Regions from separate parts of the Mus musculus genome. Here regions 2, 3, 4, 5 and 6 are each reported to be linked to region 1. Evidence: microRNA targets listed by miRTarBase, many of them from high-throughput screens and not tested one by one. Region 1 holds a microRNA gene; each other region holds the end of a gene's coding sequence.
The links. Region 1 holds the annotated microRNA mmu-miR-467g (UAUACAUACACACACAUAUAU, at 2,508-2,528, shown strand). A microRNA usually pairs through its seed, bases 2 to 8, with sites in the 3' UTR of a target mRNA and lowers its output. Matches are read on the target gene's strand: a 7mer-m8 pairs with bases 2 to 8, a 7mer-A1 pairs with bases 2 to 7 and ends in A, and an 8mer does both.

Region 2: miRTarBase lists Ptdss1 as a target of mmu-miR-467g. Seed matches in the 3' UTR shown: 7mer-m8 at 2,066-2,072 and 7mer-m8 at 2,070-2,076.
Region 3: miRTarBase lists Arl8a as a target of mmu-miR-467g. Seed matches in the 3' UTR shown: 8mer at 1,351-1,358.
Region 4: miRTarBase lists Chek1 as a target of mmu-miR-467g. Seed matches in the 3' UTR shown: 7mer-m8 at 3,123-3,129 and 8mer at 3,072-3,079.
Region 5: miRTarBase lists Rbm41 as a target of mmu-miR-467g. Seed matches in the 3' UTR shown: 7mer-m8 at 659-665, 7mer-m8 at 845-851, 7mer-A1 at 2,571-2,577, 7mer-m8 at 3,873-3,879, 7mer-m8 at 3,877-3,883, 7mer-m8 at 3,885-3,891 and 3 more.
Region 6: miRTarBase lists Stard8 as a target of mmu-miR-467g. Seed matches in the 3' UTR shown: 8mer at 3,118-3,125.

The regions. Positions count from the first base shown.
Region 1 is chr5:34,730,325-34,735,399 of GRCm38, reverse strand. Mir467g (microRNA 467g) reads left to right here and starts at 2,428; the gene lies at 2,428-2,547. It overlaps Grk4 (G protein-coupled receptor kinase 4), which reads right to left. Exons shown (of 16, transcript NM_019497.2): 11 at 3,830-3,919.
Region 2 is chr13:66,996,037-67,001,111 of GRCm38, forward strand. Ptdss1 (phosphatidylserine synthase 1) reads left to right here. Exons shown (of 13, transcript NM_008959.3): 13 at 932-2,365. The coding sequence ends at 1,041. 4933433G19Rik (RIKEN cDNA 4933433G19 gene) reads right to left here. Exons shown (of 9, transcript NR_045851.1): 7 at 3,924-3,999; 8 at 2,514-2,652; 9 at 782-1,018. Among named protein-coding and RNA genes, the nearest start is that of 4933433G19Rik, 34 kb to the right of the region's middle.
Region 3 is chr1:135,154,278-135,159,352 of GRCm38, forward strand. Arl8a (ADP-ribosylation factor-like 8A) reads left to right here. Exons shown (of 7, transcript NM_026823.2): 5 at 131-198; 6 at 436-506; 7 at 945-1,991. The coding sequence ends at 994. Among named protein-coding and RNA genes, the nearest start is that of Arl8a, 10 kb to the left of the region's middle.
Region 4 is chr9:36,705,773-36,710,847 of GRCm38, forward strand. Chek1 (checkpoint kinase 1) reads right to left here. Exons shown (of 13, transcript NM_007691.5): 13 at 2,710-4,658. The coding sequence ends at 4,563. Among named protein-coding and RNA genes, the nearest start is that of Acrv1, 15 kb to the left of the region's middle.
Region 5 is chrX:139,941,281-139,946,355 of GRCm38, reverse strand. It overlaps Rbm41 (RNA binding motif protein 41), which reads left to right. Exons shown (of 7, transcript NM_153586.2): 7 at 453-4,828. The coding sequence ends at 619. Among named protein-coding and RNA genes, the nearest start is that of Rbm41, 55 kb to the left of the region's middle.
Region 6 is chrX:99,072,590-99,077,664 of GRCm38, reverse strand. It overlaps Stard8 (START domain containing 8), which reads right to left. Exons shown (of 14, transcript NM_199018.2): 12 at 5,014-5,075; 13 at 4,735-4,911; 14 at 2,937-4,582. The coding sequence ends at 4,465. Among named protein-coding and RNA genes, the nearest start is that of Stard8, 33 kb to the right of the region's middle.

The DNA of each region.
Region 1 (5,075 bases):
GACCCATGGCTCCAGCTGCATATGAAGCAGCGGATGGCCTTGTGGACATCAATGAGAGGAGAGGCCCTTGGTCTTGTGAAGGGCCCCAGTGTAGAGGAATGCCAGGACAGGGAGGTGGGAATAGTTGGGAAAGTGAGCAGGGGGAGAGGGGATGGGATAGGGGGGTTTTCAGAGGGAAATGAGGAAAGAGGATAAAATTTGAAATGTAAATAAAGAAAATATCTTTAAAAAAATTTAAAAAACCATGTACTTGACAAAATTGGAAAATCTGTAAGAAATAGATAATTTTCTCGATAGGTACTACTTACCAAAGTTAAATCAAGATCAGATAAACCATTTAAACGAACTTATAACCCCTTAGTGAAATAGAAGCAGTCATTAAAAAGTTTTCCACCCTAACAAAACCCAGGGCCCAATGGTTTTAGTACAAAATTCTACTAGACTTTCAAAAACAGGTAACAACAAAACTCTTGAAATTATTCCACAAAATAGAAACAGAAGGAACACTGTCCAACTCATTTTATGAACTACAGTTAACCTGATACCCAAACTACACCTAGACCCAACAAAGAAAAAGAATAACAGACCAATTTTCCTTATGGACATAGATGCAAAAATATAGACTTCAAAAAGACATAAAAAAAGATAATGCACCATAAACAAGTAGGTTGCATACTAAAGCTGCAGAGATGGTTCAATACATGAAAATCAATAAATATAATCTACTATCTAAACAAATTGAAAGTTAAAAAACAAACAAACCAAAGAACATATAGTCCTCTTATTTCATGCACAAAAAAAAAAAAAAAAAAAAAAAGCCTTTGACAAAATCCAACACTCCTTCAAGAATCAGTATAGTGGTTCCTCAGAAAGATGGGAAATTATCTACCTTAAGATCCAGCTATTCCACTATTGGGCATATACTGAAATGACATTTCATCCTAATACTTGCTCAACAATATCCATTGCTGCTCTACTCATAATATCCAGAAATTGCAAACAGCCTCATCAAAAGAATGAATAAAGAACAAGTGGTACATTTGCAAAATGGGGTATTACTCAGCTCAAAATAAGAAAGGAAGGAAGGTAGGTTGGTTTTCAGTCAAGGAAATAGAACTAGAAAAAATCATCCTAAGTGAGGTAATCCAGACCCAGAAATATAAATATGTATGTAATTTGTTATATTTGGATATTAACCATTGAATCCATAGGCCCAGAGAGGTTAGATATAGTGGCCAGAACTGGGAGAGACACATTAGATCTCTTTGGGAAGGGACAATAAAAGAGATTTTATGGGTGGACTGGAATCAGGGGTTGGGAGGTTGAATGGGAGGATCATATGGAAAAGGGACAGGGAAGATGGGATAGAAGAAAGTTATCAAGGGGAAAGACATTAAGAATTGGAGATTATTTGTGGGGCAGTATGGAAATCTAGTGCAGTAAAAACTAACTATATGAAGGCAATCCAAATGAAGTCTCCAAATAATGAGGGAGTCAGAACTCTTAATTGCCATGTCTTGTCACTAAATGAAGCTTCCAGTGCTGGGACTGGGTATAATCCAGTTGAGCTGTTAGCTAAAAAGGTCCCATGGAAATCACCAAACAACTCAGGCTGTTACTCAGACAATTGGTTGCTCTCCACAAATTGACAAGGGCTCATTGCTGAAGACAATACCTACACAACTCATTGAAAATGGAAAGATCAATCTGATGCCTACATAGGACCTTTGCTCCCATTTTATAATGCCTATGACATAGGAAAGTATTCTGCAGGGTACCAAAAGAGAAAAGCAAACAGCAACTCAACCACAAATCCTTAGATCTACAATGGTGACACAAACTCTGTGGGGGTAATCAGCCTATGTCTGATTTGACGTAAGGCCTATTACATAGCCATACCCAAACCCAACACTGATTGTGTCATCAAGAACCAGAGTCTAGATATCATAGAAACCTAGAGTATAACCAAATATCACTGGTCAAAAAAATTAGTAACAATAACATGACTTCTAATGATATTCTGCTATAGTCACAGTTCAGTGCCTTTCAGTCATCACCACAAGGGCTTTTTCCTACAGCAGATGGCAATAAATGCAAAGAGCCAAATCTCTCTCTCTCTCTCTCTCTCTCTCTCTCTCTCTCTCTCACACACACACACACACACACACACACACACACACACACACACACACAGAGCGAGAGAGAGAGAAGAGAGAGAGAGAGAGCACTAAACCAGATATCTCCATAAAATCCCTCCCCTGAGAGCTTAGAGAACCCCTCAGAAGAGGAGGCAGAGGAATAGGGGAATCAGAAGAGAGAGTGGACACCAGGAGAACAAGGTTCTCTAAAACAACTGGGCAAATTTCATATGAACTCACAGAAATTAAAGCAGCAATCAATCACAAGGCCTACATGGGTCTGCACCAGGTCTTGTGCATGCATATATATATATGTGTGTGTGTATATATATATACATATATATACATACATACACATGTATATGTATATATACATACACACACATATATATATTCATGTATATATATATATATGTATATTCATGTATATATATGAATGTAATGAGGCCTTGTTGTCAGTTTGTGGAGAGCAACCTACTGTCTTGGTAACAGCCTGGGTTGTTAGGGATTTCCATGATACTCTTTCAGTTGACAACTCAATTGGATGATATCTAGTCCCAGCATTTTGCGGGGGAATATATATAATATATATAAATATATAACTTTTATATATTTATAAATATATAAATAAATACATGCACATATGCATATATATAAATAAAAGTTTTCAGTTTAGTACTTTTATGAAATTTATGAATATGTAAACAAGTGGGTCTCTGATTCTTGTGCCTTCTCTTGGGCCTCTTTCATTTTTTTCTGTTGGCTTAGCTTGTCCAACTTCAATATGATAGTTTTCATTTTATCTTATTATATTTTGTTTTGTTATGTTTTGTTATCTCCCAGAAGCCTGTTCTTTTCTAATGAGAGACAAACAGGGAGTAGTATATCTGGATGGAGAAGAGTGGGGAACAAGTGGGAGGAGCAGAGGGAAGGGAACTGTATTCAACTGTATTTAAATTATACTGTATGAGAAAAGAATCTGTTTAATAAAAGTAAGGAAAGAAGCCAGAGATAGTGGCACAAGCCTTTAATCCCAGCAGTCAGAAGGCAGAGACAGAGTTCCAGGCCAGCCTGGTCGACAGTGTAAGTTCCAGGACAGCCAGGGCTACACAGAGAAACCCTGTCTCAAAATAACAATAAAGGCAGGGGAGAGATGTCTATTAGATGTGTGTGGTAGTGCTCACCTTTAATCCCATAGATCACCATGCCCAGCTTCCCCTGACCCCCCAAAATCTTGTTTTGTTTTGTTTTTTTAATTAAACTTAGAGCTAATTGTTGTTTTCCAACAGGAAGACTGAATTGTTGTGTTTGTTTATAAAGTATCAGAGTGATAATTAGCTTTATTAAGTGCTATTTTAGGGGCAGGAAAGATGGCTCAATGGGTAAAAGTGCTTGCCTTCAAGCCTGACTAATTGAATTTTGTGAAAGCAGAGAACTGACCCACTTGAATTGTTGTCTGACTTTTACATGCACTCCCTTAGGTACTCATATGTACAGATACATGCACATAATAATAAATAAATGTAATATAAATATTTTTTAAATTAATGTTTTAATGTAGCATTATTGTTATGGCTTAATGAGGTTCATACACTTAAAGTAAATTAAAAGCTAAGTCTTCCCTCTAGGTTCTAAGCCCTAGGACACCTAGAAGGTATGGATAAGGTCCACCAAAGTCATCTTTCACTTACCCATGTAGCCAACAGTACCAACTCTTCCTCGTACCATCTCCCCTTCTGGGACTTCCATAGCTAGACCAAGATCTGAAATTCGGATGTGTCCTGTGCAGGTTCACACACAAAGTACAGATCATTGGGAAAAGTAACATTTTAGTGACAATTTATAACTGCGAGGCAAAGTCCATCTAAAACGTATTGATGAGGGCTGGGGATATACCTCAGTAATAAAACCCTTGTATATGATATATAAGGCTTGTGATTCTATCCCTAGTGATAAAAACACACAAAAATGTATTAAAAATAGCAATATCTAAAAATTATATTTAACTTTTACATATGTAATGTACTTTCATATAGCACACTGAGTTTCACTAACAGCAAGAAATTATATTTATACCTAAAGAAGCCCTTTAACAGTAAATCACCACTAGATAAAAACCAGAGGAACCATATTTATTATTTACTCATAACTATCAGTTAAGCTACTTCACTTAGAGAACTGTACTGTTCAAATGTTTTGGGTATAGGAAGGCATAAATGTTGGCTACAGTCCTATGAAAGTAACTAATTATGGAAAGTGTTCTTCTAAGGACCCCTATCATAGGATTTAGACTTACCCTCATAAGACACCTAGTAAACTACTCAATGTATTTCAATATAATTTGTTCACTTCCCTTCAATGCCAACTCTAGATACCAGTGCAGCATAACCCAGCACAAATCACAAGTTTAAGAGTTGGAAGCAGTCAAATTACTTCTTAATTATTCCATAAATGAAATTTCAAGCACCTTTCTTCTTCATTGGGGTCAGTACATAAGTTAGGTAACGAGCAGAAAGCAGTGGCAGAAGTAAATATAAAAGCTAAGTCTGATAATGTCCCATGTTTGCCTTCAGTAATGAGCTACACTAGCCTATTCTTTCCAGGAATCACTCTGGCTCTGGTTTATGTTTCCTACTCCACAGAAAGATCCTTTTAGCTATTAAGAATCACTAATCATAAGCTCCTTCTCAAATTGCTAACCTACTTAGTGTACATACAACCAGCATCCTAGCAATAGGGCTCACTCTCAGATCCAGAGATACCAATGTCAGAGGCACCCATGATGCTGATAAGGAGCTATCACATCATGACCAGTCCCCATAACAGCATTCTACACCCCCACTCTGTGACAATTGATATATGATAAGGGGACAGCATAGAGGGCAGCACGCCAAGTTTAGAGGGCTAAGGAATAAAAATAAATAGAGTCAATAGCAA
Region 2 (5,075 bases), not on the chromosome of region 1:
CTTTCCAAGCACCCTGCAGTCTGCTGACCTGTGTGGCCAAAGGGGTTCACTAGACTGACCTTCTCTGGGCCCATCCAGTTACATAATCAGCCCTGGGCATTCCTCGTTCTCCAATAGAAAGAATTTATGTGTGCAAGTGATGCAGCATATGAAGTGTGTGTGCGTGTGAGAGAGAGAGAGAGAGAGAGAGAGAGAGAGAGAGAGAGAGAGAGAGAGAGAGAGAGAGGAGAAACTTTTCAGAACCTTTGGGACTGTGACAAATACTTCGAATGAAGACAAAATGCTTCTGGGCCTTTGGGGAGTGGCGTTAAGTGGCTGTCTTTGGTAAATATTTCACCCAGAACTGAACCAGAACACTGAAGAAGAGAGGGTTTAGGCTTAGCCACTCCCTTAGGGGCTGGCCACATCCTCATATCAGAGGAAACAGTAGCCCTAGTGTTACAATGTCACCTCAGGGCTGTCACTCAGAGCATCAGGTACCTTGCCTGTAAAGATCTTGATGTCTCTGCTAATAGTTTTAAAGTTATAAAGTCAAGAATCTTTTCCAACTGAGACCTTACAAAGCCTGTCTAACCGTTCAGTGTATACAGACTTGGGGAATCTATACTGTAGCTGTAAGCATAAGATGGATACCTACCAGTGTGGCTGAACTTTTATTAATGTTTATGCTTTCATTTGAACTCACTTCTGGTCCTCATGACTGTGTCCCAGACTAAAAATTACTTAGAACTCCAGTTTTATGGGACAGTTACCTGGTACACACAAGGCATAGACAAGACTGTCAGATTCCCCTGGCCTTAATTTATTAATGGGGCCACTAGAGGGACATCAAGTAAGAATTGGATTTTAGCTGAGAAGCATGGCAGATCCCAGGAGTCAGCCACAAAGCCCAGAGGCCCCTGGTGATAATGTGTTGGCTTTCTTTGGGCAGGTTCTGAAGACAGCCCACCGAAGCATTCAAGCAACCACGAAAGCCATTCTTCCAGAAGAAGGAACCGGCATTCTAAGTCCAAAGTCACTAATGGAGTTGGAAAGAAATGAAGGAAGCTAGTTAATGTCAGATGTTCCAGAGTGCCTAGACCCGAGAGGAAAACAGCATATTTGGACCTTCCTATGCAGAGATCATAATGTACGGAAAGAACCGAGGGAGCTTAGGGGATCGTGACTTGAGAGTGTAAGTCTTGTCTCCCATAGACCTGGACACACACTAGGCTGACCATGGCTCGGGGTCCTTTGCCAACTGGAAGAGTCTCTAAACTTCAGCGTATGGCCTGCATTCTCTGGTAGCAATACAGTGTGCTGGAAGGACAGGATAGCTGTTTATTCCCAGCTGCCAGCAGTGGCTCTCTGCTGGTGTGTCTTGTGGATGTTGTATAAATGTCTTCATTCAGATGTTGACTTAACTAACTGGCTAATGAACTGGTCGCTTGGTTTTATTTTTATGAGTCTGCCTGTCCATTTGATTGATTGTTTAAGTTCAGAGAGTCTGCTTTTACTTCATGTTTTTGAGTTAAATAGCTTCAAAGCTTCCAGAATCCACTGCTGAAATTGGGGGAGGGTTCCTTCTAGAGAAACAAAGGGTGGAAGGAGCTTTGGTGTCCCAGCTAAGCATACTCAGTCCCCAGCCACATGGCAGATGACCCCAGCCGGAGTGAAGAGGCTGGCTGCTGGCACTGGAGCCTCGGCTTCAGATTAGAACTGTTTTGTTCCCTTCCAGACACTGTCCAGACTGAGTGCACAAGAACGACCTTGCGAGCGGATCTGGGACAGTGGGGCTCCCTGCCAGGGTCCTTTTCCATGTGCTTGGTTTTTCCTCTGTGATGTTTTGCCTACTCTGTCTTTCTGGCTCATGTGAGGTGCTAGTGGGTATTAATTAACTTTCATCTGTGCCATGTTCTACTAAAACATTCTCCCTGTCTACCCTGGATCCTTGTTTTAAATATATCAGTTCACATTAAACAGCTCATCAATGATCTGTCTTTGTTAGAATGATGTTTCTTTGTATCTTATTAGTCTTTTAACTACTTGGAGGCAAGTTCATATTTTGCAGTTGACCTTAGGATAATATGTATGTATGTGTGTTCTATATGGTAAAGAAAGAAAAAAGAAAAAATATATTTTAAAGGGGCTTACACATATATGTCCTATCTGAACCTTCCAGAGTGATCCACAGGGAATGGAAGTGTATGCAGGGGCATTGTCTGTCACTATGGTCTTACTTACTAGGTTGGATTTTCTTTCTCAGACAAGTGGGCTGTAAAACAAACTTGCTACAAACAATCCTGCTGCTCACTCACCAAAGCACGATGATTTCTGTTTCTTTGCCTCCTTAAAGGGAGTCTTTGAACTATAAAAGTTATGTTTTATTTTGCTTTCTCTCTCTCTTTCTGTCCCTCCCTCCCTCCCTCCCTCCCTCCCTCCCTCCCTCCCTCCCTCCCTTCCTTCCTTTCTTTTTTGAAAAAGAATTCCCAGATGAGAGATTTAAATCAATCATGAAGAAAAACTCGACTCACCGTTATTGCTCTGGGTGAACACTTGAGTTAAGAGCCACCCACAGACTTGCTTTCTCAGCCAGCCACACATGTCCACTGGTCCACCCCAAGAGGCTATGGCAGGCCACAGCTCTAAACTTTGCCATAGTGTTCCATGAGCCTGTTTAAAGGGGAACAAAGAGGTACCTATCATTCCTCATCCCTCATTTTGCAGTTCTGGAATTGAACTTGGGGCCTCTTGTGTACTAGACACGGGCTCTGCTACTGAGATTTGGCTCTCTCCTCACATTCCATCAAACAAAACAGGCTTTTTTGGGGGGGTTTTCAAGACAGGGTTTCTCTGTATAGCCCTGGCTGTCCTGGAACTCACTTTGTAGACCAGGCTTGCCTTGAACTCAGAAATCCACCTGCCTCTGCCTCCCGAGTGCTGGGATTAAAGGCATGCGCCACCACGCCCGGCCAAAACAGGCTTTTATGAATATATTTATAACTTTTAAACATTGCTTTGCTTTGCAGATAGAAGAGTGTTTTATTTCTGTGCAATTTTGATAAGCCTAAAATTTTGTATTGCTCATATAGGTTGTATGAGGGTTTCCAAGTTTGTTTTCCAGGACAGTTCAGGGACTGGCACTGTGGGACTCATCTAGCGGGTAGGCCAACCCCTCTGAAGAGGCACATGCCCAACTTCTATAATTAGACAGAAAGTGCCTGTGGAGTGTGCAAGAATCAAAGCATACAAAGCATTATTTCTCTATGGCTTTGTAGGAAACAGCTAGGAAAGTCCTTAGATACTTTCCATGTGCATTGAATTCAAACTTTCATTTTCACTTTGAGAAAGTGTTTTAGCTACGGCAATGAGGAAACCAACACTGTGCATAACTGTGCCGTTTTCCCCCACACCATACCACTGGTCCTAGTCTAAGTTTCTGCCGACGTCTGGAAATTGACCCTAGGTTGATTGAAAGTAGAGCGTATGTTCCAGAGGTATCTGTTAGTGAGTGGTGACTATAAGTCATCTCATGACCCTCTTGAAAGATTGCTGGCTTTAAAGATACCACAGTTCATGGTGTAAAGCAGGAGGAGATTTTGAGTGTCTTTCTTGTCAAATCCTCTCCCTTTTGTTATCCTTGGTCCTTACAGGCCTCTCTCCTTTCCCTCATGTCCCTTTCACCTTTCACCAAGAGGCTTTGCCCACTTGCCCTCCCAGCCATGCTTAGATGTTCACTACCCCACTGAGGTTTTAGTGATACTCAGCATCTCGTAAATGCCAGCCTTTGCTGCAACTGCCTCCTAAGTGAACTTGGAAATCAAGGTCTCACCCAGGAAAATAAAATTAGTTCTATCAGTTCCAGCTTTCTTGGTTCCTACTTAGAAACCACTTGCTTTAGAGCATCCTAAGAAATAATACCTGCTTTGTTCAATAAGGCTTACCTTTTGAAATTTAGTCTAGAATGTTTGGAGGTAAATGGTGAATTTCCCAGCCTTCACAGAGTGAACAGAAGGGAGCCTGGGCAGAGGAAAAAAAGGTTTACCACTGGATGGGAAATAAGAAACTGGGCCTTTGGGGATAGACTGCAGTATACCCTCTAAACACTGGGTGCTTGGAACCCATTCGTTGTACTCGGTGACTGTCATGGGACTCCTGGGATCACCATATGTTTATTAGGTGAGTGTCACTTAAATATCTAGAAATCCAACAAGTGGACACTTGTACCTATGTATTTTTTATTTCTGTATGGAAAAAGACCTCTGGCTCCTGCATCCCAGCACCTAGTAGACCATCGCTTTTTTCTTTTTTTTTTTTTTTTTTTTTTACAAGGATGCATGTTGCTATGATTATATTTAAGATTTTGTTCTTTGCAGTAGATATTGGAGTGGCTGATACTGATGGGTCACAGTATTACTGCTCATCCAGAATTACTAGATTTTCATATCTCCCTTTATCACCTTTTATTCTAAACCTGATGATAAGACAGTCACAGGTAAAGGTTATAATATTTTTTTTTAGTCAGACTTTTGAAATTTGATGCAATAAATAAACATAGTAGCTTTTCAATTTTACTATCTTCTGTGGACTTAAAGTAATTTTGTTAGCATATATTGATTGTACGAAATAATATGTTTCCTTTCCATTCATGTATGCATTGTACTTAGATTATACTTCCCATCATTCCCTTTTGCTTTTCCTCTTACCCTGGTGGCCTCCTTTCTCTTCCCAAATAATTTAAAGGAATAATGACTAATGTCTACAAAAGAAGGGACAAATAGCTAGACTTGAATTGTTTAGCTTGAAGGCCTGCTAAATTGTAAAAGATCTTCCTTCTCTCTGATGTCTCCTAAAACTGTTCTTTGGTCCACTTTAAAATTTTCATCTGGGACTTTGTCTACCCTGCTATTACTTTCTTTGAATGTGTTGGACGGATTTAAAAGAAAAGAGAAGAAAATGACAAACAACAACAAAACAAAAACACAAGGGTTTTCTATGTATCCCAGGCTGGCCCTGAGATCACAGATGTCTTCCTTTTTCAGCCTACTGAGTGCTATGATTCCAGGCCTATAGAAACTTGAAGCTTCCTGACCTCT
Region 3 (5,075 bases), not on the chromosome of region 1:
GAGATGGAGCGGGTGGGAGAGGGAGCTGATCAGAAATCACGGGGCGGGGGCGGGGGAGGGGGGGAGCGCCGTACAGCCGAGGTACCCAGGTATCCTTGCTCTAACTCTCCCCGGCTTGCTTCCTGTATAGGTCTTAGTCCTTGGTAACAAGCGAGACCTCGCCGGAGCGCTAGATGAGAAGGAGCTAATCGAGAAAATGTGAGCTGAGTGGCCTTTCTTTGTGTGCTTCAGCTCCCCCAAATTCCCCAGCTGCCGAAGGCTTCTGGGCTGGGCTTGTTGCTGTTCTTGGTGTTTACCACATGGTGGCAGCAGAACGTATCTTTCCCAGAAGCCTCGCCCTCCTCTTGTAGACCTTTTACTGAGAAAAACACCCTGCCCTTCCCTGGTCCCTTAACTGCTCCAGCATCCGCTGACTCCTCTCTGGTCTTCCCGCAGGAACCTGTCTGCTATCCAGGACCGAGAGATCTGCTGCTACTCCATATCCTGCAAAGAGAAGGACAACATAGGTGCGTGGCTTGGGGAAGTTGCTGGCACTCTGCCAGGAGTGGCTGGGCTGAAGGGAAAGATACTTCTGATGCGGTATCTGGGAAGTCCATACCGAGCCACTTTGTCCTTGGGTGCAGCAGGCAGCTAGGAGGCCCCAGTTCTGGGTGTTACCCTAGCCCTGCCCCCTCTTCCACTTCTGAGATTGGTTAGAGCAGGTATTCCAGTCCCTTCTTTGCTAGCTGTGGCTTTGTGTCTTTTATATCACTAGCTTGGAGCTTTTGGTGCGGGGGGTGGGGGTGGGGGGGGGTGGAGCTGGGGGTGGGGGGTGGGGGGGGGTGGGGTCACAGCTCTAAGCTTGATCCAGGCTGCCATTGCAGGAACCTGGCTTAACTGTTCATACCTCCCAGGCCCTTCTCACACAGGGAGGCCTTACAACTTTCTCTCTTGTCTCCCCTCAGACATCACCCTACAGTGGCTTATTCAACACTCAAAGTCACGGAGAAGCTGAGACTGTGGCTCTTCTTCTGACTAGGGACCACAGTCACCTAACCTGAAGCCGAGCTCCCCGCCCACCCTGTTGTCTCTCCCTAAGCCCACTCCTCCTCACCCAGTGTGGGGAGGGCCCTCTGGGGCTCCTAGAGCCCTATTCTGCTGAGGTTTCAACTCCTGTTTTTATTGTAAAATAATTGCCCTCTCCCCAAGTCTGGTCCCCTAACCTCTCTCCCTTGCTCTCTTTTTCCCTTCAGCTACCCCACTCCCCTCCCTGTCAACAGCCCTGGCCCCGCAAGCCCTCTCCTCACTCTCTGCCCCACCCTCCTCTTCCCCTTTCAACACTCTGTTATTGTCCTGTGTGTACAGTATATATATGTATATATATTTTAATTTTTTAATTTAAGCAAAGACTAAGATCAACCATTTGATGCTGCAGGGGCCAATCGGGACCTGGGAGGGGCAAACTGGAAAGGCAGAGAGAGATGCAGGGTCGATGTGGGGCAAGTTCATATGCAGAAGAGGGGAGACTGCCACATAGGGCAGTGGTTGTCCCCATGTCCTGTAAAGTATCTCTGTCTCCCAGTGGAGGACCTGAATTTGAAGGCCAGCAGGAGCCTCCTTTTCTGTCCCCAGCCTTGATAGGGCCACCAGGTACAACCAGGTCTAAGAGGGAGGACCAGGGTCCATGTCGTCCCAGCAACCCCCACTGTCACTGTTCCTGGCCCCAGGTCCTGCCCCTACCCAGGGTCCCCACCTCCACGGCCCATCTCATTTTCTGTTCTCATTTCACAGAGTTGTACAAGGAGAGAACTCAGCATGGGAGGGTTGGTTCTTTGGTTTTGTTTGTTTGTTTGTTTGTTTGTTTAATTTAATAATTTGTAAAGTGATGTTCCTCTTCCTTTTTACAGTTTTCAGCTCATATTTAACCTCTGTTTGGAAAACGATCCTTGTAACTGTACATTTTTTTTTTTGCCTCCTAATAATGACAACAATAAATTACCAATTTTGTGTTGGGGGGTGTGTATGGTGCTGGTTGTTTCCCACAGATATCACCGACCAGCGGACCCACAGGGGCATGAGCACCACTACACATCATACACAGGGATGACCACAGGGTGCCACACCTACAGGGAACACATACTCACGCTCTCTGGAAACACAGTGGCCTATCACGTGTGCTCACACTGGGACAGCAGCCCACACGTGTTTCTGGGCCCTGCTTGTTGTCTGCTTCTCACTCCTGTACGCTGACAGCTGCCAAGTGGCACTAAGCAGGTCTGTTAGAGGAGCTGCCCAGACCTGGGCCTTTCATGTGGCATTCAAACTGAATTGCTCTCCATCATAAACACTTAAGCTCATGGCCCCCTCTCAGTCTACACCTGCTTGTTCCCATATAGCCAGAGTGGAGCCAGAACAGAACTCTGCATCCTCTCATCACACTCAGTGCCCACCAAGAAGAAATCAAATGTCCTCAGGGGTATACTGGGCCTGCAGAGTCTTCCTTTGTCATCCTTGCTGTCCATGCTATTGGTCTCTTGGAAAGGACCCAACCAGGGCTGGAGAGATGGCTCAGCCGTTAAAGGCTAGGCTCACAACCAAAAATCTAAGAAAAGGACCCAACCATTTGTTAACTCGATGGATAGAATTCCTACCCTGCCTGTCTAGCTGGAGCTCACAGCCTCAGTTCTTGTGGGCCCTCCTTGATCCAATGTGAATCCAACCACAGCTAGTTTTATACTGACCCTCGATCTCTTGGGTCCCCCTCCCCCACTCCCTGTTCTGCCTCCCCTTTGCCTGGAAATAGAGACTGGAATGTTCCGTGTAGAATAAGCAATCTCTTCACCCTGCATCTGCAGTAAGAAACAGCCACATCTGTCCTTGGTTTGTGAGAGGATTTGGGTGAGGCCACTACTCAGCCGTGAATATATCCAGCCTGGAAGAGGATCTCTTATTGCTGGGGGGATTTGAAGACAGGGTCTGGAGATTTAGCTCATTGACAGAGCGCTGATGGAGCATACAATAGACCAGGCCCTGGCTTCCATTGACTGCATGGGGGAAAAAGATTTGAGGAAAAACTGGATGGTGTTTGCTGCTTCTCAGGAGCTTTCCAACCCCTTACAAGGATAAGATGCACCCCCTAGGGGCTGGAGAGATGGCTCAGTGGTTAAGAGCACTGATGCTTTTCCAGAGGTCCTGAGTTCAATTCCTAGCAACCACATGGTGGCTCACAACTGTCTGTAACAGGATCCAATACCCTCTTTGGTGTGTCTGAAGACAGCAACAATGTACTCACATATATAAAATAAATCTTTAAAAAAAAAAAAAATGTGACCCTTAGTTGGGAAGGAGGATGGGCCCAGGCTCTGTCTTTTGCCTTGCCTGCTTCAAGGAAGTCGCTGTGCTTCTATGCCTATATCTGGAGAGGACCATTGTTCTCAGCCATTGAGGATGTTGCAGCACTGAGCTGCCGCTTGGGTCCTGTGTTCTCCAGATGCGATTTGATGATGAGCCTGTTATCACTGCATGCAAAATCAGTACCCTGCACAGTGAATTCATACAACAGGCATGCAGCGGGGGCTAAACAACCTGTTCTTGGATAGGGAATAAACTATGGATAGTATGCATATAAACCTACATGTATAAACAACATCATGGTTGGGTCCTCTGAGGGCAAAAGTAGATGAGTTAATATCTGGCCAAGGGGCTGGAGAGGTGGCTCAGAGCATGTACTGCTCTTCCAGAGGACACAGGTTTGGCTCCTAGGACATGTGTCAGGTGACTTCTGACCTATGTGGGTACTGTGTCCATGTGCACATACTCCACACACATACACATGATTAAAAATGGTAAAAAAAAAAAAAAAAAAAAAAAGTAGTTTAAAAGCAAGTCTAAGCCGGGCGGTGGTGGCACATGCCTTTAATCCCAGCACTTGGGAGGCAGAAGCAGGCGGATTTCTGAGTTCGAGGCCAGCCTGGTCTACAAAGTGAGTTCCAGGACAGCCAGGGCTATACAGAGAAACTCTATCTCGAAAAAACAAAAACAAAAAAGCAAGTCTATTCCATATTGCTAGAGATTTGAATCCCAAAAGGCACTGAACTTTGCCAGATGCTTAGAACACCATCCTCTTCCTCTTTAACAATGGGCATGGGTCCCAGAGCTTGGAGCACACTCGGCAAGGAGTCTACCCCTGGGCTCCAGCTCCAGCATATGATGCATCTGGCCTCATTTAATGACCATAGGCCTCTGTGAAGGAGAGATCGTTCCGGTTTCCAGAGTGAGAAGCTGAGACTGAGGTTGAAGCAGGTATACTCAGGGCCCAGGGTGACGGGTGGAGCCGAGACAGAACAAAGATAACCCGTGGGGAATGTCAGGGGATGCCTCTCCCCTGGCATCGGGCTCCGAGGACTGTGGATGTCATCATCTTTTTCCTGAGCATCCCAGCTCAAAGCCACTGCCCACCCTTGAGCAACAACCCCTCCCCCTGAAGCCTGGGACCCCTGAACAACAAATCCCACATTGTTCCTTGGCTGGCTCAGGCTGGAGGGATAGTGGCTCTTTCCCAAGACTGGCTGGACTGCTGACTAGCTTTGCAAGCCATTCACGTTGGCAGGCTTGGAAGGTGGCAACGGGGTAGGGTCTAAGAGCCACCATCTCCCGCCTCCCCCCTCCCATTCCCCTTCAGCTCTGGGCCAGCCAGCAGGCAAGAGGGAGGTCCAGAGTGTGCCCTTTGTGGAAGAGGCTACCAAACAGGATGCAGAACCCACCCCCACCCCACCCCACCCCCTAGCCTTCCACTCTCAATCCTCTCCCTGCCCCTGACTTCACCTCAGTTCACCCGGCCAGTTAGGAGCTATTGGTGTGTGCAGGGCTGGGGTAGAGGGAAGATAGAAGAAAGCATATGCTGGCTGGTTCTGTTCAGAGACATGGGCCCACCTTTGCCCCCTCTCCAACTACCCACACACTCAAAGTTCCTAAACACAAAGCCGGAGAGTTCGGTCACTGTAGCAACAGGTCTGCCGAGAAATGGGTGGGTGTCATTTTCCAGCACAAAGGGTGCACATGGCAGCTCCATCACTTAGCAACAGACTCCCTCTCTT
Region 4 (5,075 bases), not on the chromosome of region 1:
AAAGTATACATACACAGTTGAACAGGTGAGCAAAGCAAGCAGCTATACACACAGAGGAACTGAGAAAAGGAATGTGAAGGCAAGAAGGACGAGAAGACACTAACCCTTCACATCAGCTTGATCCCAAGGCTCAAAACATACCTTGCTGTTATGATGTGCGCAAAGCAAGTTTAAGAGTTGTGTTTGTTTTTCAAGGAAAAACTATTTTTAAGGACTTATTTTTTGTTTTTGTTTTTTGTAAAAATATGTCTAGGTATGTATGGATGTACAAGTGGCCAGAATCCAGAAGAGTGTTTTGGATCCCATGGAGCTATTTATAGGTGAGCTGTGAGCTGCCCAGTGTGGGTGCTGGGGGTTTGCATGCTCTGTGAGAGCAGCCAGAGTTCTGAACCACCGAGCCCTATCTCCAGGCCTCAAGTGCCAAGCTTTCAACAAAACGATTGGAAGACATGCAAAGAAAGAAAACTGTACTGAACACTCCCCACAGAAACACTTTAAATGGAGGGTCTCAAGTGTGTTCAGAGAACAACAGGTTTTGATGTGAGAGCAATCAGGAAACCAATATGTAAACAAGCAGTGTTGGTGCTGGAGAATTTAACAGCAGGTTTAAACCAAGAATCCGCAACTCTGATTTCGGTTCAACCATACAGCACTGTCAGATGTTTTAGCACTGACACACATTCCTACCACGGATTATCACCAACTCCGAAGGCTTAAAATTGAATAAGGAGGAAGGGAAGCCTGACATAAGCAATTTAAGTTGGGACTTAAACAACACTATCACACAGTCAGTACTACCTCACAAGTGACTAAGGGATGGACAGAGACTAGTTGACTGAAATGCTTCCAAATCAGAAGACAGGCATGGATCTGCAAACACAGGGAATACAATGAGCTCTCAGGATGGTTAAGACTGAGACATACATACTGTCACAACACTATCAAAAACTAAAGGTGAAAAAGGACTCTTGAAGGCATCAAAGCAATTCACTGAAGAGAAAGGATCCTAAATATGATTATCAGTTAGCTGGGTGCAGTAGTACACATTGGTAACCCTGTCATTGGGAAGCTGAGGCAGAAGAGTTGCAGGTTTAATGTAGGCCTGGTCTATCAGTGAGGCCCAGGTTACCCTGGGCTACTTAGTGCCACTGTCTCATAAAAACAGTTAATTTCTCAGCAGAACCTTTGTAGGCCCAAAGGCAGTGAGGTGATATATACATTAATGAAAGGAAAAAAAAAATGTCCAAACACTATCAACTAAAAATTCAGTGTCTGGTGAAACAGAATTATCCCATAGAAATAAAGGCAAAATTAAGATTCACAGACAGTGGGCTAAAGGAACTGATTATAACTACTACTGCTATGTAAGAAATGATTAAGATTGCTAAAGTGGAAATTTCTAAGTTTCTTCGGAAAGTCAGTTATGACAAATGATTTTTTGCTGGGGCACACAGATAAAAGAATATCTCGCTAAAGCAGGCATGTGAAAGAATGTTTTCATGAAGCAGACACAGGTGAAAGGACACATGATGAAGGAGTATAAATATGATCCCGCACACAATGAGAGCAAGAGCGTTGGTTTGGCTTGCTCTGCCTAGCTACTCTTCACTAATGACACACATGTATTAGTTGGCCCTACATATTGTTGTTGAGCTCCACTTGTGGTAATGCTGCCATTGGAAGAGGCTCACCAAAGAACTGCTCTAATTCTTGCTGCTTCCATAGCCTCGGACCAGTTGGCAAGCCTTGTGGTTTCCTCAGGACTGAACTACAGATTGTTATCTGCCTGCCAAGAGGACCGGACGGTAGTTGCTGATTTCTGTTTGGTGTTTGCTATGGGACTGAACGGGGGACAAAGAAGATCAAGCTCACCCCTAAAGGGCTAAAAATTATTGCTAAACAGGTCTACTTCCCCCATCTCTAATAACTTTTCTTTTCTGCTACCTCTAGCAGGTGGTGGGCAAGAAGAGAGGTTGAACCCTTATTACAATAGGCTGCAAAAAAATTGTGCCTACAGATTGCCCTTGAACTTTAGATGAAAAGATGCTAGAGAGCAGTAAAAAACCACAATACAAATACCTCTGAAAAGGCATAACTAAAAATCCCAGCTTAAGGATCTGGCTCAGTGGGGCTGGTGAGATGGTTCAGTGGTTAAGAGCACCGACTGCTCTTCCAAAGGTCCTGAGTTCAAATCCCAGCAACCACATGGTGGCTCACAACCATCCGTAACAAAAATCTAATGCCCTCTTCTGGAGTGTCTGAAGATAGCTACAGTGTACACACATATAATAAATAAATTAATTTTTAAAAAAAAAGAATTGTCAAACTTGCTTTAAAAAAAAAAAAGGATCTGGCTCAGTAAAAGTGTTTGCAAGACTTGAATGTGATCCTAGATTGGATCCCCAGCAACAACAAATATAAGAACAATTATGTAAAACCCAAGGATGGAGAAGATGTAGATGAGCTGTCACGCCATCTGTAATCCCAGCACTTAGGAGGTAGAGGCAGAAAGATGAGGAATTTAAAGCTATCCACTCATGGATAGCAAGTTAAAGGCCAGCCTAGACTACATGAAAACTTGATTCAAAATAAAAAAATAAATAAAACCCATATTTACTGTAGTGTGCGTACAACATTTAAAGATATAGCTTTTGGTGTTAATAAAATTACACAGGAAAGACAACATAGCTGTAAATATAGCTGTCCTGTCAAAGTCAAGTTGGGCCAGGCATGCTATGTAATCACAGTATTTGGGAGACAGAGTCAGGAAAAAAAGAAACAGCCTGGGCTGGACAATGAGTTCACAGGCCAAAGGCCAGTCTGATCTACACAGTGAGGTCCTGTTTCAAAAAACAGTTGTTACAAATTTTAAATAAATTGTTGTATTTTATAAGCGGAAAAAAATAAACAACACACAATTATCATATGACATAGCAATTCTACCTCAGGGTCTATACACAAAAAATTAAAAACATACTTGAGCAGGTACTTATATATTCATGTTCACACCAGTATCAATTACATGGACAAAAGGTGGCAACAATCCAAATATGCATGATCATATGAAAGAGTATACATACACACACACACACACACACACACACACACACACACGCACAGACATACATAATATGGAGTATTAGTCACCAAAAGGAATGAAACCTGATATGTTATAACATAGATAAATCCTGAAAAGAGTTGTTATGAAGTAACCCAAACACTAAGAGGCAAATATACAATTCTACTTATATGAAGTACAAGAATATTCAAAATCATGGAGACCAAAGCAATATAGTTGAGTAGGTGCCAAGTAATGGCGGAAAGCAATCATGACTTGAGAGATACAGGCTCGGAAGACAGTACTGCATACCATCAGATGAAGAAGACAATGACATAAAACAGTACAGCGCAGATGGGACTTGGGGTTCGAATAAGTAACGTTTTTAACAAGATGGCTGACTTTTACCACAGTGGGACTACAAGTGGGAAACAGGAGACTGAATAGAGTTAGGTTCAAGTTAACTTTTGGGGATGGGAGAGTTAAGTGGGTGACAACAGCATATACCAACATGAAATAAACTTGAGCCATAAAATTTTAAATGTTCTCAGCTTTCAGACTAACTAATGTTGGAATTTATCTATGAAAAGGAATACAGGACCCCAATCATATATTCATATTTTAATATAAATTTTATGAACAAAACAAAGTTTAAGTGAGTGTACAAGGTGAGGAACAAGGATCCGGTCAACTCCTGCATTTCCTTACTCCCGCCCCTTTTCAGTCAGTGTCATCTAGAAACTTGGTGGCTGGCCAATAAGTTCAGAGTTAGATATTGATTTTGAAAATAGTTTATTTCTAGAGTAATTAAAATATGGCTGTGAATCTAGAAAAAATTGTTTAAGTGTGTAATTTTTAGAGTAATGTCACTTAAGCACTAGAGTTTATGTTCAACTTTGTGAAAATCCAACCAAATTAGTCTTTATATTTGACAAGCTACGCCAGGAGGAAAATTTGCAATTTAAAACACTTTAACTCAAAAAAGTTTTATAATTGGTCAAGCCCTTGTGCAGCACATATACCCAAACTGAAAATACAGTACATACATTAACATACACATTTTTGTGGCTGGCCTCATTCATGAACCAATCAACTGTATATGGTCTGTGTTTATTCATCCTTACAATTAAATAGGCAGAGAAGAAAATATTTTGCTTGGGATGAAACAAGCTTTTGATTTTTCAAAAGTGATACTACTACATGGGTATAAAAGCTGGCAAACTCAAGTATCCCATAACTTGGTTTCAAATCCAGACAATTTAAAGACAGCTGGAGAAATACCTAATGAATTTGATCCATCCTTTCCCCAAAGCATTACATACAATTAAAATACAGTAGTATTTGTATGCCAAACACTACAAATCGGAAGATGTTTGGGTAATGGGAAGAGAACTCTTCAACAACTATTGTTTGCAGTTTGCAGAATAGGATAATCTTCTCTAGGAAGAAAAATGTCACATAGCAGCACTCTATTCACCAGGAATGTGCAGAGCTGACAGCTTCCTCATGTAACAGGAAACCAAACCTTCTGGCTGCTCACAACATCGCTGAGCTTCCCTTTAATCTTCAGGAAGTGTCTCTTGAACTCTAATCCATCACCCTATTTTAGGAAAAATATTTTAAAAATATAAAAAAGATTGTATCAAAAAAGCACATTCTCATTCCTGACCAAAGAAACAAACACCCTTAACTATGTCCAGTTCTTCTTGCCTCCTCCTCTCGGTTCTTTTCTGAGAATACTGGATTGCAGGTATGCACCAACATTCCAGCTTAGTTATGCATTCCATATAAATCTGACTTGTTTGAACAGGATTTTATAACAATTTATGGGTTTTACTAGAGAAGAAACCTTTAACTATATCAAAAATCTAGAAAAGAATTATTTCAACCAGTCTCCCACATACAGAACATGAATTACTCTTCAACCCTTTCTAGAACCACACATGAACTATCAGAAAACAGACATTATATTGATTTTAATACAGAATAGACTTTTAAACTAAAAATAATAGGGGAG
Region 5 (5,075 bases), not on the chromosome of region 1:
AGATCGTGTGGAGAGTCCTCTTAAGGACCTTGGGGGTGTCCTCTGCCTCCTCGCCCAGGTGACCTGGTGCTGGTGGTGACCGGAAGGATTTGTGACCCTGGTCAGGCCGGGTTTTCTGCTTCTTTAGTGCTGTCTCAGGTCCCGCGCAATTGGATTGGAACAGAAGTTGTGTTCCACTCACCATAGGTCCTAAGATCGAGTGGAGAGTCCTCTAGGGACCTTCTGGTTGTCCACTGACTCCACGCCCAAGGTCACCCGGTGCTGGCCTTTTGTCACTATTATTGCCCATTAATTTAATCTTGACTACTTATACAAACTGGGGATTGCAGGCACGACAAAAACATCAAACATCATTATGATTTTTTATAGCACACAAATCCAAATTAACCCTGTAATATAATTGAGTGATTAAGCACTATATAATTTGATGCATGTTTCTTATTTTTTTCCAGATAAAGACATAGCATGGCAAGCACTGCACCAAATTAATGGATATAAACTCTATGGGAAAATATTGGTGATAGAGTTTGCAAAGAGCAAAAAGCAACAGTCAGCTGTTCAGCGCTCTTCCCTTATAACATCTGCTCCTGATGGCAGAACAGAAATCAATGGCAGCTAGGAATTCGTATCTACACACATGTACATGCACATTTGGATATATGTATGTAAATGAATATTCAGATGATTTTTCTTTTCTCATTTCTTAGATCAAGAATATGTAAATTCATAAAAATTTGTTGAAAATTGAAGAGGAAATATAAGAAAGAAATTAGGACAGTTGCTCTCAGCATTTGGAGAGAATTGATAAAAGTATTTTCTTTTTTTAAGATATATTTATTTATTTTATGTATGTGAGTACAGTGTAGCTGTCTTCAGACACACCAGAAGAGGGCATTTGATCCCAGTATAGATGGTTGTGAACCACCATGTGATTGCTGGGAATTGAACTCAGGACCTCTGGAAGAGCAGTCAGTGCTCTTAACCTCTGAGTCATCTCTCCACCCTAAAAAGTATTTTCTATAATTAAATACTGTATAGTATTGAAAAAGATTGTATAAAATTGACAATATCCTGGGTGTTAAAGATAATAATGAAACACTATATATGGCAGAAAATACCCTGAGGGGTAAGACCATGTGAAAACCTTTAATTCTCAGGATACATTACATAGGACTGTTCCTAAAGATCCCAAAAATCCTTTAATAATTTTGTAGTCTTCAGTGTTTAGTCCTAGAGATAAGACTTTTTCTAGGAGTGTTTCCTGTATACGAAGTTTTAAAACTAACCCAGTGTTAAAATATTTCTTTACTGAACTCAAACTGTGTTTTGTCAGAACCTTCAACAGTTTCAGTAGGTAGATTCATAAGTTTATTAACTTAATGATTGCTTCCACACTAAGTTTTCAGAGTCCTCAAAAGCATATTTATTATTATGACATCTTTTAAACCAAAATATTGGTAGTCTATGATACTATTGCATTCAAAACAATATCCATTAAACATGGAGTATCTGTCTAATGTATGAACTTTCAAGACAAATGAACTAGCATCTATATTAAAGGGACAGGAAAGAAAGTTCTTTAGAGGAAAGGCAGCCTGCCTCAAATTCCCTAGTGATTCGTTTATAGTTGTTGAAGAAGAAGAAGAACCTAAATGGTTTAGACGGTAGAACCAGCTTTGGAGTCAGACCTGTGACCCTCAAAGTCACCCATGTTTACCATCCTGAGCTTAGAAAGTCACTCACTCTGAGCCTCATTTATCTCATCTATAAAAAGTAACATTGCTTCTGACCTCCCTGAGTAAGGGTTAAATGAGATTATAATATCCAAGGTATTATATTATATTATATTATATTATAACAAGGGGAAAAATGAACTTTAGGGTACTCCACTAAGTACATCAAACAACATATAATAAGAATTTCATTCAAAAGCGAGAAAGAAGCATAAAATACTACAAAAGGTCGAGTGAAATGGCTCAGTGAGTAAAGGCATTTGCCACCAAACAGGAAGACCTGAGTTCAAACCCTCAGACCTGCCAATAATAGGACAAAAAGGCTGGGAAATAATGCTATAGTTTCTTTAAAAATCCTGTAAATCCATAGGAACAAATAAAACAAAAGGGAAATAAGGTGGCTAAATTTTACTAGGCTGTAAACCTAATTCTGCTTCCTAGAAGTAACAGAATTATATTGGTAGTTGTACTGTTCTGTTAGCCCTACAGTGTGTTGAAAGAGTTCGCATGGCTGAGGAAAGGGAAACAAAAATGCTAGAGATAAAGATCCACTTTGTGTTTAAAAGGTTGGTGTTTTAAGATGTGAGAATTTTAATCACATATTTTCATAACTACAGAGCCCTCAAATAACCTGAAACAAGGTAGCAAACAAAGTAAAGAATGAAAGGAGAAACAGGCACATCTCCAAACTGGTGGGTACTCAGTGTCTCCTTCCTAATACAAGTACTGCTGCACAGTTGATAAACAAGGAAGTAGCCAGTTTCAGCACTGGATGCTGGATAGATCTGAAAGACAGCTCTAGAATATAGCTCTACTAGAATATATATATTTTATCCCATGTATATGAAACATCTTTAGGCTAGATCATGAACTGAACCACAAAACAGGCCTTAATAAATACAAATGGACTAAAGTCTTGTCAAACATGTTCTCTTCCACATGGAAGAAGGTTACACATCAGTACCAATAAATCGGGAAACTCACAGATAAGTGAAAATTAGTGATAACTTAAAGACCAAGTCGGTCAATAAAGAAGCGGGAGAGATGGCTCAGTGCATAAGAGTACTTACTGCTCTTGCAGAGGACCTGAGTTTGATCCTCAGCATCCACACTGATGGTTCCCAGCTACCTTTGTCTATATATGGGATATGCTTAGAGATAAGCCTATTCAATGAGAAGAAAGACCGTGTAACAGTAATTCACTTCATATCTTAAGCCATAGGAAAATAATAGCAAACTACACCTAGAACAAACAAAAAGGGGAAAACATGCAAAATGCCTGAGAATAGAGTACAAGAGAGAAAATGCAAGGAATCCAAGCGAGAAACTGGCAAGCCTTTTGCTACATACAGCAGGAAGAGGTAGAATGTAATCATTAGTTTGAGAAATAAAGGAGGGAATGTTGCTACTGACCTTTGAAAAATAGAAGGTGTGTGAGGGAGTACTGTTGTACTCATGTGTCAATAGATTAACCTACTAAAAATGAACAAATCCCTAAAAAGATAAAGTACCAAGAACCAAATATAGGAAGCCAGAATCGACCTACTAACAAATAGGTTAAAGAAGTCACAAGACAGATAAGCCACAACAATACCTATACTTAAGTTGCTTTAGATTTGAAATCTAGAGTTCTACTAAATGTTTAATAAAACAGTAATCCAGTTTCTTCACATGCTGTTTATTAAGAAAATAAGGAATACTTCTGAGATATACCACCACATGGGAGAACCCTGAGAGTATGTTCAGGGAAAGAAGCCAGTCACTGGTGAGGACAAAATGTGCAATTCCATATATATGTCAAGTACAGAGTTGGTTTAAAAAGTGCATATATATGTAGTAATAAATGGTAGGCAAGAAAAGCTAGAGTGTTCATAAATTACATCAGTGGTTGTATAACAATGAACATACCAAGTGGGTGAATGTTGTGGTATGTGAATTAAATCTCAGTGAAACTCAAAAACATAGGAACTTGGACATTATCCAAATGTCCACCTGTCAACATGAGTGACTTTTAACTGATGGCACATCCATTTAGTTGGGTATTATGAAGCCATTAAAACAGTAGACTAGATCTATGAATATATTGTGACCTCTACTCATATCCAAGATTTTATATTAAGTTATAAGCTAAGATACATGTATGTATGTATTTATGTATGTTTGTATGTATGTATGTAACACATTTTTAAGCAAATAGTTCATGTGTATAGTTTGTAGAGATAATTTCAAAACAAATATAGGAATAAAATAGGAAATGTATATAACGGGCTGTAAACCTTCTGCAAGTGACTCCGTACAAGCTAAAAACAAAACACCTCCACCTTGGAAACATTTTTAGGTGGTATGATTTGGAGCGATTTTTACCTTTTTCACTACTTTTTAATTAAAGTAATTTTTAAATATTCTTACAAACACTTGGCTTCCAAAATATTAGTCAGACCTACTCTGAGGGTTTCTGACTTTACTCAGGACAAACTTGTATTCATTTGCTATATTGCTCACGCGATTAACACTTCAATTTCTCCTAGAGTTTAAGGGGTGGGACGTGAAGGAGCCACCCTGGTTACAGCCTCTTGCACATGTTACCCTGGGCTACACTTCTCAGCCAGGTTTCCCGGAAGGGACTGCTTCCTCTCAGGTGGGCAGCCTTACCTCCTCCTTGCTAGACCTGCAGACCACTTAAAAATGGAGACAATCTAATCGAGGGTACCTTTCAACTGGTGCAGAGATAGAGAAATTGGTGTATCCCGACAGCAAGATTCTACTCAGCAATAACAAACTAAGGAACCATATATGCAACAACTTGGATACATCTGAAATGTATTTTGCTAAGTAGAAGAAGCCAGACTCAAACGGCTGCTTACTGTTATATTTCATTTGTGTTGTTTTCTGGAAAGGATGAAGCAATAAGGCAGAAAAAGCAGTAGACACCAAGTATCGGCACAAGGGATTTCTTTTTAATAATAGGAACTTTCTCTGTGTTATTTATAGTTACAATGTGTATGTGTTTGTTAAAACTCAGAGAATTATGCAACAAAAGAATGGATTTTAATGTGTGAATTTTTTAACAATAAAAGTAATTTTTGATGAAATAGAGATTTGGAAAGAGATTCATTTCATTAACTAGTGCAAGTATTGTGTGGTCTCTAATTGCTACTGAAAACCCAAAGCTACTGGATTTTTCGTTTGCTTCTCATAGGTGAGCCCAAGCCACTAAATTGAAACCTCTTTATTAGCTACTTTTCTTTCGTTGTGGTAAACACCATAAGGCAGGTAACCTGGAGAAGGCACTGCTTTGGCTCCCGGCTCTAGAAAGATACGAATCCCTTGCCATTATGGCAG
Region 6 (5,075 bases), not on the chromosome of region 1:
CTGAGAGTGAGGCAAGCAAGACACAGGGCTAGAAAGAAAGAATGATTTTGAGGTTCCCAACACCCACTTCCTGAACCTCAGAGGCTGTGTGTGACCCTCAGAGGGAGTTCAGCCATCTGCTTTGGATTCACTTGATCGGGGACATGTGTCGTTCGCCTTAACCTCCAGGGCTCATAGATCTGAGAGCACTGAGTGAGACCGAGAACCAGCAGCCTGGCACCACCTGGCATGGCAGTTCTCAGGCTCGGTGCTCCATGGGGGTCCCAAGCCGTACAGGAAGTGTTGGTGCTTGGGAAATGGGAGGTGTGTCTCTGGAAGGATTACCAGCAGCACACAGATAGGCATGATGCAGGCTGGCTGTGCAGCTGTACAGACCCTGCTGGGTTACTTGGACCATGAGTACCTGTGAAGAAGGCCTCAAACCAGAGAGGGAGGGGTCCTGATGTGGAACTGCAGCCTGAGCTGCCAGCCTCCTTTTCCACCTCATGTTCTTTTGATTCAACATGGCCTGCCTGGGGCTCCCTCTACCCTGGCAGCCAGCTCAGGGCACCAGAGGCCCTGGAGAGAATGCTGGATGAATGTTGTTCTTCCAGAAATCTTCCCCATCTTATTTGTCTTATTGACAATCAAGCCATGTGTCCTGGAAGCCCACCCCTGCTATGCTTCCCCCTACCCCAAAGCTACCTTTTTGCCCCCCAAAGCTGGAGGCTGAGTGTTTTTCTGCCCATCTGATTCTCTTCCAAAGTCCCAAGCATCACTGATGATGAAAAGTCAAAGATAGGCCCTGGCGAGTAGAAGCAAGACTAGGGAAGGTCATGATAGAGGTGACCAGTCTGTTTTGGCTGTGGCTGGTTGTGATATCTGTTGAAGGATTCCCACCTGAACGCTCCTGGAGCCAGGAATGTGACAGAGCATGATTCATAGGTCCTCTACTGGAGCTCTGATGAAGGTGAGCTGTGACAGGCAGCAGGCCTTTTGCACCTAGGCTAATAATACTCCCTGGTGAGTGCAGATGCTTTCAGGAGTCCAAAGTCTGCTCGGTGGTGTGCCATTTAAGCCTTCTCCCCAGAAATAAGCTGCACACTGATTAATCTGATCTGATTCTGTCCCCGAGTGATGTCATAGCTCTGATTGATTTTCCTAAGCACACTCAGTGATTCTTCCGAAAATGACTATACATGCATTGCTCAGAAATCTAAGTTTTATGACTACTTTCTTTTGACCTTTGCCCTGGAGCTTAGATGTTTTTTTCTTTAGTTTCCTTTTGCTTTGCTTTGCTTTGCTTTGTTTTTCCTGGATTGACAGTTCTTTTAATATACACAATGTATACCAGTACCTCATATAATTTACTAATGTCATTTTTCAGTGGCATCAGTGTTGACCTCATAGAGGCAGGGTATAAAAGCTGGGTTTCCTTGTGTACCAAGTACAAAATGTGTTGAACAGTTATATATAGTTAATATAGTCAACAGTTGTATAAGATCAACTTTCAGGATGACTCAGTTTACCATAGTGGCTTCACAGCATGTTGTATCAAGACTTGAATGCCACACCGTGCTGCCTTGTTTCTGGAACAGCAACTTAGATCCTGACAACCTCCTCTTTGCTTGCCCCACTTTTGCTTGTTTTTGCTGCTCCCGTCATTGCTGCTGCTAAACTTGCCTAATGTTTGAAGAGTCTTTTCATGAACTCAGAACCAGGCAGTTCGTGTTGGAATTCACCATACTCATTCTTGATTCTATCTCCTGCCTTATGCCAGGAACCCTTGTGTGGAAGACTTTGAGCAGAAGCACAGATTTCAATAATGGGAAAACAATCATCCTAACTATTGGGTTTGTCTGTCCAGTTCTGTGATTCCATTCTAATAATGTGAGAAGGTGAACCTGAAGATGTCATTTGGAGAGGATGGGGTAGTACGCCCACTTTTATTGTTTTGATGCAATTCATATGTCTTTCTCTCTCTCTCTCTCTCTCTCTCTCTCTCTCTCTCTCTCTCTCTCTCTCTCTCTCTCCCTTTTTCTTTTTTAAGTGATATCAACTCGGGCAGGATCAAACTTGTAAACTGGAGAGATAACTTCTACTACCTAAGAGTCAGATGAAAAATCATCAACTACCGAACGCTCGCCTATCTTAAGGAAACCAATATGCTCTTCCATCTACCAGCATTAGGTACGAGGAGATCTAGTCCTGAAGCTCCACCCCTGAAACAACCCCATGCCCCTTAATCTTAGAATGATCTCCCGGGCCCACCCTACTACGTCAGGGGCCCTCTGCAGCAGCCCTGGGGCATCTCCGGGTGTCTGCCATTCACTGAGAGTAGCAGGGAAGAGTTCTCACAGAATGTCCAAAATGACAGCAGCTTCGATGAGTCAGGCCATGGCCTAGAGCTTAGAAGTTTTATGGCCACAGCAAACTGGTAAAGGTCTTTCCTTTGGGGGAGATCAAATAGAACCTGGCTTAGAGATCCCAATACTTTGCTGCCTCAAGGCAGGCAGCCTTCTTTTAAGTGTTGTGTATGTGGTATAGAACCCCCCAAACCTGAGGCCTGTACCCCTACTACTTTTGCTCTGCCTGGGCTGTGTAGGAGTGGAAAGAAAGCTCTGAGGCAGGCACAACCCTTCTTAGAACTGTTATGGACTCCTGAGGTCACGATGGAAACTGACGCTCAAATCCAGGACCCTAGCCTAGTCATGGAATGAAGGTTGAAGTTTTTGTCTGAGGCTTGGCTTCTCCAAACTCTGCCTGCCTTCACAATCACCTTCCCAAGACCAAAGGTCTTTGCTTTTCCCTAGGGTGTTACCCCAAGTCCTGACACCATTTGCTGGGGAGTCTGCAGAAGGTAAGGTCCAAGCTCACAATCTGTGACCTATGGATATGAGTTGCAACCCAAGCTCCCAGCCCATTGTCTCAGCAAAACAAACTCTCCAGAGCCAGTGTGCATCTCCAGTCCTGCTTTATTATTCTGCAGAGGGAACTGCTGCGGCCTGCCCTTCACCTCTCCTCTCTCGTTAGAACAGAAGTGTGTTAGTCCAGACCCTGCTCCCATCCAGAGATTATAACGCACTCAAGAGGGAGTAGCTGTGTGTGCATGCAAATATGTGTGTATATGTATAGGTATATACATATGTATATATATACACATACACATATATATTATGGCTGTACAGTATTTATAGGCACAGACAAAACAGGATTAACATCACAACGATGGCTACAAACCACCACAATCCAGTTTACTCAGCCAAAGACAAAGAAAGCACCACTTGGCCTCTGAATGGCTGCTCGGTTTCTATCTGAACAAACATAACCACTAGATGGGATAGATCAGGCTGGTATCAGCCAGGATGGCTAAGGTACGCCCTTCTTTGTGTTTTTCTAGGGTGTCTACTCTAGGAATGGACTTTTCTTTTTCTTTTTAAGGACACTTGGTTTTGCTTTTTATAAAAGATTTATTTATCTATTTATTTATTATGTATATCAGTACACTGTAGCTGTCTTCAAACACTACAGAAGAGGGCATCAGATCTCATTACAGATGGTTGTGAACCACCCTGCGATTGCTGGGAATTGAACTTTTAGGTCCTCTGGAAGAGCAGCCACTGCTCTTAACCACTATGCCACCTCTCCAGCCAAAAGGACTGTTCTTATAGACCACCACTGTAGGCAAAAGGCATGAGGATACATTTGTATTTCTTGCTGCCACTGTCAGCTTTGGCCTGGCCTGTGTCATGGGAATGAGCTATTTCACTTGTATCTATGGCCATGAGTGGCCAAAGGCTGCCCACAACTCTAGAGAGTAATGGATAAAGTGTGGGTCAAAGTAGGGGAGGATGGTTCATTGGTTTCTTGGGCTTGAGGAAGAAAGGTCCTCTAACCTCAGATCCCAAGTTATCCCAGTTTGTCATGTTACCTACTAAGGGCCCATAGGGCCACTGTCAATCTTCAGAAAGTTCAGCATCATGTTCACATATAAAATGGATTGTGGTGGTCATTGTGTCCCCCGTGCTTACCCGATCTGGTGTTCCAGACCTGTATTCAGGATCAATGTTGGCCCCAAAGGCAGGATCAGACCTCATATTCAAACTCAAAAGAACCCTAGCACCAAATAAGATGGCCTGCCTACTTGGTATGGCAGAGAGCCCAGGCTGTCCAAGGCTCTCCACCTTCTTCCCCTGCTGGGCCTCCAGATACAGCAGCGTCTTCTTGGTCAGATGGACAGCAATGATCTTCTTGCCACTAACAAGATTCTCTTCGCTTGTGAGATCAGAATGCAGTATCGGGGATGAAGGTGGGTGGAGGTAGGATACCTACGCCCTCTTCTCTTGTGTGTGTGCAGAGTAGCATTAGGATACAAGAGGATAGGTAGCTGGGCCACCGAGGCCTGGCTGTGTCTCTAAAGGCTTCTCAGTTCATATTCCCACTCATTTCTTTGGTGGCAGACACCTGGCAATGTCAGCCTAAGACTCAGAGCTTTGTTTCCGGGCCAGCTGCCTGAAGGGTTGGGAAAGAGTCTCGGATCTTTGCCACTTCCATGGCACACAAGTGCCCAAAGACTTTGTTGTACCAGTCAGGAGAACGGCCCCTGGGGAGGAAGAGGCAGGCAGATATGAGAAATGGGGTTTCCGTCCAAGAGAGAAAGGAAGTCTTTCCCACACTGGGTATCACTGACATAGGGTAAGTGCAATGGATGGGCTCAGGGCCAAGGGGGTGAGGCAGGCATCCCAGGCCTGGTACCTGAGGTCAGCGCGGCAAATATGAGTGAGGCGAGAGCGGCCCAGGCCACAGGGTTCCATGAGGTACTGGGAAGTGAGCATGAGGGCGCGTACTCCAGACTCTGGCACGGGTTGCTCAGGATCCAGGGACTGAGAGACAAGGAGGCACCCACCACGAGGCAGGTCCGAGCGCCACATCCTGGAACATGAAAGGGCAAGAGCCCATGTTTAGGTCCCTACCGCTGACCCTTGGCCCACCTTTCTGGCCCCGGACAGCAGGAAGGTGACAGGAATGCCTCACCTGAGCACCACAAAATCACGGCAAGGATGAGGTGCCATGCTGTCAGTGACATAGTGGTACAG